Linked DNA regions of Kluyveromyces lactis. The protein of the gene in region 1 interacts with the protein of each later gene in a pairwise test. Links are inferred from orthologs where the notes say so. Each region holds a gene or a part of one and is shown in the gene's direction. Other genes may lie near its edges. The genes, in order: LSM4, GIS2 and XRN1.

Region 1 (2,561 bases):
TCATATACATCAACGCCCGCGTATGTAGCAACTTCAATGAAAGTTTCCGATTCGCTGTCATAACCACTTGTCTCCGCCATAGTAGGTTCCTCACTGATTTTCTTTAAACTCCCATCGATCTGCCTTTCATCGATCATCGAAGAGGATGCTCCCGTGGATGAAGAAGAATTATTGGTAGCACCACTATTAGCTCCTAATAAATTAGAATTGAACGGTTTCAAAAGTGTATCATTCTCAGAATGATGATGAGTGCCCATGTGCATTTGAAGGATAGATTCCTTGTCAAAAACGTTGCCGCTATGATGCGACAAGTGTTGTTCCATAATTACACGAAAGAAATAAATGCACACGAAATCCTAATTGTTTTAGACAAAACAAAGCAAAGAAAAGCACGCCAGAGTCAACAAAGCGTTTCGAGTCGAGTGTCACCTTCTGCTGCTGCTTCTGCTTCTGCTCCTGGCAATGTGATCTCAAGCTCGCTCACTTTGTAAAATTCAACGTAAAATATACCACGCAGTTACGGTTATTCTAGCTTTTCCACCAGTGCCCAAAAATGTATCCAGATATCGGAGTAGCAGACCAAATCAATCTCAACTGGAATGCTCTGATATTTAGCTAAGTTCACGTAGCCTACAGACACTGTTAATAACAAAGGTATACACAAATCATAAATGACATTGTAAAGTGCGTGAGAAAGTCTGCTTTCAAAAGATTATAATCTTTATTTTAAACTGTGATCAAATCTCTTTACCCAATTGGGAAAAGAAAGATTAGATGCCTCACCAAAAAAAAAATCTCAGATCTCACATTTCAAACCTCACTCCAGTGTGTTCCCATATTCAAAGCTGAGGCAACCTTTCAAAACGCCTAGAAGGGTCCGTATGACACGAAGGAGTAGGGGGGCAGAAACAGTCTTAAAAGTGAAAAAATAAGAGAAAAATCAATAATCAGATTATATTCACGTGTCAGTATTACCCGGGACACTCACGTGATTCGAAACTTTTAAGTGTTACCCGGTAAATGAATTTTATGAAATGTCGAGAATGCTTTTTCCAGCTCAATGAAATTTGGAAAAACTGAAGTTATATTGTAATTGGAATTTAAATATTGTCAATGCAATTGTATGCATTTGGTTCGTCCTACTAGGGAGTGTTACATAACTCAAACTACAGATACGCAGATAAGCAACAAAGTCTAATTCATACTTTTTTCCCTCACATTTTTCCTTCTCCAGACAGACAGAGTCCTAATTTTTTGGTATATTGTATATTGTTCCGGCCCCACCCTTTCCTACGATTAAGTTACTACGGTTTGAGATACCTAAAGAAATACGACAGCACGGGCACACTATAATTGGTAAAACAGATCAATAAGTTATAACATAAAATGCTTCCATTATATTTATTGACCAATGCAAAGGGTCAAACAATGCATGTTGAACTAAAAAATGGAGAAACTGTGGAAGGTACGCTATCTGATGTAGACAATTGGATGAACTTGACACTTTCCAATGTCACTCATGTAGCTAGTGGAGAGACTTTGAAATTACCAAGCTTCTATTTGAAAGGTTCTTTCATCAAGTATGTTAATTTGCAAGATGATATCATAGACAAGGTAAAACAACAATGGGGTCAAAACAGAGGCGGTAAAGACGATAGAAGAAGAAATAACAACTACAATAATAACAATAATTATTATCAGAATAGGGATGGTAACAGAAGAGGTGGTAGAAGAAACTATCAAAACTCAGGTAACAGAAGGGATTACAACAACAACAATAATAATAATAATAATAATAATAACAATACTCACAGCCATAACAATGCAGGATCTCGTCGTTATAATATTCAAAATAGATCACAATACGATGCATCATCCAATCCACAGCTTTCGTATTCGCAGGCGTCAAACAATAGTAATCAAACTCCACAATTTTGATTTAACCTCTTTTCTCAGCATTTAATTCTTAAGTATTTGTGTGTCTACATGGTTACATATTCAATCACTTTTATTGCGGTTAAAGAGACTATTTTGTTGGCTTGGACGGTCAAAAGTCTATAAAAACATCTGTTTCGATTGCATTCGATGCGATATCCTAAACCTTTTTCTCGTTACTCCTTTCACACTTTTGAGATTTAAAACTGAATTTGGGTTATGAAATTAAAAGAACTACCTATTAATTATGATTCAGAGTTAGTGAACCTTAAGTTCAAAGCAGTATATCAGTGCTTTATATATTAAGAGTATGTGAGCATGGGTACCGTGGAAAAGATCAAATGTTGTTATTTTTTAAATTACTCTATACAAAAATGCTTGGTTTAGAAAGTCCATGCTAGATATGCAGTATTATATAGGAGAAATATGAGACTCCTGAAGAGAGCCGGACTTTTTTTTTTTGGCCTCACTTTAAATATAAGAGGCGAACTTATTTAGCCTTGTTATATTCATTCAGCTTACCGATGAACCACAATGAGCTTAGGTAACTTAAAGATCCAAATGCTGTCCAGCAGAGAATGTTGAATAACGTACTATAACAGACAAATAGGAAAGATGAGATGAAA
Region 2 (2,313 bases), on another chromosome or scaffold:
GGCAGTTTGGAGGAGTTATCAGATTCGGAATTTGATGTTTCTGCCAAAGAGGAGGAAAAGAAAAGTACAGAACTCCAAGATCCCAAGTCAATTGACCTGGAAACACAATTCAGTGACGTTGAATCAGATTTAGACTCGCTGAACGAGAGAAACAAGGGTGCTGACATGCTTGAATTGACTGATGATGAGAGTGTCCATGAACTGCCGGGCAGTTCACGAGATTTTTTTGATGAGAACGACGTAGAAGAAATGTCAATGGAACTCATTAAGATGTATAGCATCGGTTTGAATGCGGAGGGTGTATCAGAGTTTAAAAAGAGCTCGGCTTCCCTTGTGTTGCCGAAGAATACTGAGAAAAGCACATACTTGAAATCAAACGCCGTAAGGCAAAAATTCATGACTAAATATGATCTTCCGCCAGTATTGTTTCTTGACCAGCTGGAATCTCGTACTAGAGAGCATATTTCTGTTTGTGATGCGATACTGACCGGAAAGGTCTCATCGTTGTATTATTCAATGGCGAAAACGGTTCAGAAAAACTCAAAACGTCAAGTGATTACAAACGAAGAACTACGAGATCTAAATATCTTGAAATTCACCGCTGGGTACTTCGGATCCAGACGACAGGCTATCGTTGGAATGCTTATCCTCGAGACTTATGGTGAAAAGTTGAAAAGAAATAAGAATCCTGTGATTTCATTCTGGGGCCCTTACGACTTTTCACAATATATCTTAGCCCCGGAAGTCTTAAGCTACTTGTGCATGGATGACTTCAAATTAAACAACATCGAAGATGCGTGGGATATTATGCAGACAACTATCGAGTTTGGAACAATGGTCGCAGACTTGAGTCCTTTAGAAGTTTACGAAATTGAATGCGAGGAAGAGTCTTTAAGGAGACTAAGACTACCACAACAATACTCTTCAATGAGCTACAGGGATGATCCGAGAAGGAAACAAGATTCGAACGTAGGATAATAGACCCAGTACTATTACGCAACTGGTCTGCATTCCATTCTAGCCAGTCCCATGGACTGTTCTATAATGAAGACCTTAAGATCTATCTGAAAATCCCATCAAATCATTTAACACGACTGGAAAATTTTCAAATTCTAACAAACGCTTCCTCTGCGATGGGAGACCTTTGCGCCTATCCTCTTCTATGATTCCAAGATTACCTTTAAAACAAGCGTGCTATATTCCAACACTCTGTATTCTGAAAAAATGGTGGTTTTAACAGAAACACTCCGGGAAGACTAAAGAGTGTGAGGAAAATGTCAGGTAAGGCGTGTTATATTTGCGGGAAGTTGGGCCATTTGGCTAGTGATTGTGATTCTGAAAAGCTATGTTACAACTGTAACAAGCCAGGCCACGTCCAATCAGAATGTACTGTCCCAAAGACTGTCGAATTCAAGCAGTGTTATAACTGTGGCGAAACTGGTCATGTTAAGACTGAATGTACCGTTCAAAAATGTTACAACTGTGATGGCTTTGGTCACATCTCTAGAGAATGTGATCAACCAAAGAGATTCAGAAACAACGAGCGTAGTGGTCCTAAGGTTTCTTGTTACAAGTGCGGTGGCCCTAACCACATTGCTAAGGACTGTTTAAAGTCTGAACCAACTTGTTACAACTGTGGTCAAGCTGGCCATTTGTCCAAAGACTGTCAAAACGGTGAAAACGAGAAAGTTTGCTACAACTGCAACGGCGTCGGTCACATCGCCAAGGATTGCTCTTCCTATTAATTGTGCTCGTAAGTTCTAGTGAATTTATCATTTCAATTTTAATCCTTATCACGATAAGTTTGTATCTTGGGATAACGGATTCATTGTTTGGTATGATCCCAATTATTTTTCTTGTTTCTGTTGCTTCTCTTTTGCTTATTCATCGTCAAGCAATGATATTCTACAATATCTCTTTCAATGTGGTAGTTCAGTGCAGCAATTTAGATGTCATTATGTGATGGCAGAGCGAAGGTTAATCTAACAGCTAAAAGTAAATACATTAAAATATATTGTCTTAATCACATCATATCCTAGTTTCTATAAAGTTCATTTAAGAGTTTCAATGCCTTGCTAATATTAGCAACATCATGTACCCTGATTATGTCGCATCCGTTTGCTACGCAAGCGGACACTATCGCTCCTGTTGCGAAATCTCTATCTTTGGCACTAGGAGTCTTTGTTATATCTCCAATGAACTTCTTTCTAGATGGTCCAACCAACACAGGAAGATTTATTAAAGAATAGTACTCATTACCAATGATACAAGAATAGTTCCGTAGTAGAGGAATACCTTTTATTAACTCGAGAT
Region 3 (2,234 bases), on another chromosome or scaffold:
TTAGGTGATTATGCGTATGGTGGGGAGGCGACCGTTGATGGTTATAATAGTGAGACTAGATTAAAACTTACAGTCAAAAAGGGTTCTCTCAGAGCAGAGCCTAACATCGGAAAAGTTAGAGCGAAATTGGATTCTCAAGCCTTGAGATTCTACCCAACACAAGTGTTTTCAAAAATAGCTCGTGTCCACCCTCTCTTCTTGTCAAAAATTACTTCAAGATATTTGGTCAATGATTCTAAAAAGAAAAGCCATAACGTCGGTTTGATGATCAAATTCAAAGCAAGAAATCAAAAAGTTCTCGGTTATGCCAGATGCAGCTCAAACAAATGGGAATACTCTGACGTCGCTCTTGGTTTGTTAGAGCAGTTCAGATCTACATTCCCTGAGTTCTTTGCGAAACTTTCTAACTCGAAGGAACAAGCAATTCCATCGATCACTGATCTCTTCCCTAACAAATCTAGCGCGGAAGCTGATTCCATTTTGAAAACAGTGGCTGATTGGCTCTCAGAAGCAAGAAAACCATTCGTGGTGGTGTCTTTGGAAAGTGATTCGCTAACCAAGGCTTCGATGGCAGCTGTTGAATCTGAAATCATAAAATACGTTTCTTTACCAGATTCAAGCGAGCAGAAGAAATTAGCTAAGGTCCCACGTGAGGCAATCTTAAATGCGGAATCGTCATATGTTCTATTGCGCTCCCAAAGGTTCCACTTAGGTGATAGGGTAATGTACATTCAAGATTCAGGCAAGGTTCCACTTCACAGCAAAGGTACTGTCGTTGGCTACACTTCAATTGGCAAGAACGTCTCAATCCAAGTTCTATTTGACAATGAAATAATTGCAGGAAACAACTTTGGTGGTAGGTTGCAGACCAGACGTGGTTTGGGATTGGACTCTTCCTTCTTATTAAACTTGTCTGATAGACAATTGGTATATCATTCAAAGGCATCGAAGAGTGCTGATAAGAAACCAAAAGCAGTTCCTAATGATAAGCAAGTCGCCCTCGCAAAAAAGAAGAGAGTGGAGGAACTCAAAAAAAAGCAAGCCCATGAGTTGTTAAATCATATCAAGAAGGATAACGCGGAATCAAATACCGAATCTGGATCCGCTCCGCAAATAGCAGTTAACACTTTAAATCCTTCGGCTGCTAACAACGTGTTCAATGCCGTCTTGAACCAAATCAAACCAGGTTCTCAACAGCAAATTCAACCACCTCCAGCAAATTCTCTGCCTTACAATTTCACTGTTCCCCCACATATGGTTCCTGGTGGTATTCCTCATCCTCTTATGATGCAGCCGCCTTTCATTCCGAATAATGAGCATATTGCTTATGCAGCTCCTCCTCAGTCACAACCTGTACAAAATCCACCATTAGATAAAGAGGCATCCAGGAATCTTAAGAATCTCCTAATTAGAGATGAGAATGGACGTACAGCAAATGTGGAGAATAAAGACTCAGATGATACAAAGAGATCTTCTCATTCTCGTGGCGGTCGTCGTGGCCGTAGTAATCGTGGTCGTGGTGCCTCCGGGAGGGGTGGTCATTTCAAAAATTCTCCTAAAAAAACTGAAACCTGAATGTTGGTTTGAATGGACTATTAACAGTAAATATTATATCACTTCAGTAAATAATGCTTAGTATATAAGAATAGAGACACTTTCAGGTTCAACTTTTCAAAATTCCCGGTTTGTTGTTTGTTCCTTTATTTTTTGATCAGCGATATCGTGACTCTTAGCAAACCACTTAGTTTCAAACCCATTTGATCTATCAACTCCATCCCATCTATAACCGGGAACGATACCGAACCGATTTTCTGGAAAGTTTTTCTCGTAAAGCCTTCGACCCAACAGTGACGTATTCGTTCCTCGCAGGGTGTTTCCTTGATTCAATGGATCTTCGGTTGATAATAATGCACTTTTCTCAGTTTTGCGATCAAGTTTTGATATTTGTACTTCGCCTATATTTCGTATTTTAAGTTCTTCTTCCTTACGTACTTTCGCTGTCAAATTAGCCTTTTCTCGAAGTTTCAATTCTTCTTCGTATCCATCTATTACCTTACCTTTTTCGTCTCTATATACTGTGTTCTGATTCTTCTTGAGAAGCCCTGATTTTTGCATAGAAAGTTTTTCCTTTTCTGCGATCTGCTTTTCCATCTCTTCTGCTGTCTGTAACCCAGCAAAGGCGCCTGACGACATCCTTTCCTTACTATCGTCCTTTTTGTCGACATCAACGTGTT

What was found.
Region 2: the proteins of LSM4 (region 1) and GIS2 interact in a protein complementation assay, tested with the Saccharomyces cerevisiae proteins (2 studies listed by BioGRID). The link is inferred for Kluyveromyces lactis from reciprocal best matches to the Saccharomyces cerevisiae genes LSM4 and GIS2.
Region 3: the proteins of LSM4 (region 1) and XRN1 interact in binary tests that used the Saccharomyces cerevisiae proteins (3 or more experiments, as listed by UniProt). The link is inferred for Kluyveromyces lactis from reciprocal best matches to the Saccharomyces cerevisiae genes LSM4 and XRN1.

Annotation. Positions count from the first base shown.
Region 1 is NC_006041.1:1,855,001-1,857,561, forward strand, and holds LSM4 (U6 snRNA complex subunit LSM4), read left to right. Parts: upstream 1-1,386; coding exon 1,387-1,938; downstream 1,939-2,561. Other genes in the region: SBF complex DNA-binding subunit SWI4, read right to left, coding at 1-323; TMN3 (Tmn3p), read right to left, coding at 2,426-2,561. UniProt on the Saccharomyces cerevisiae protein: Component of LSm protein complexes, which are involved in RNA processing and may function in a chaperone-like manner. Component of the cytoplasmic LSM1-LSM7 complex which is involved in mRNA degradation by activating the decapping step.
Region 2 is NC_006039.1:252,752-255,064, reverse strand, and holds GIS2 (mRNA-binding translational activator GIS2), read left to right. Parts: upstream 1-1,274; coding exon 1,275-1,745; downstream 1,746-2,313. Other genes in the region: RTC4 (Rtc4p), read left to right, coding at 1-978; trifunctional dihydropteroate synthetase/dihydrohydroxymethylpterin pyrophosphokinase/dihydroneopterin aldolase FOL1, read right to left, coding at 2,036-2,313. UniProt on the Saccharomyces cerevisiae protein: May act in the sexual differentiation pathway.
Region 3 is NC_006042.1:2,094,022-2,096,255, forward strand, and holds the end of XRN1 (chromatin-binding exonuclease XRN1), read left to right. Parts: coding exon 1-1,575; downstream 1,576-2,234. Other genes in the region: BUD13 (Bud13p), read right to left, coding at 1,672-2,234. UniProt on the Saccharomyces cerevisiae protein: Multifunctional protein that exhibits several independent functions at different levels of the cellular processes. 5'-3' exonuclease component of the nonsense-mediated mRNA decay (NMD) which is a highly conserved mRNA degradation pathway, an RNA surveillance system whose role is to identify and rid cells of mRNA with premature termination codons and thus prevents accumulation of potentially harmful truncated proteins.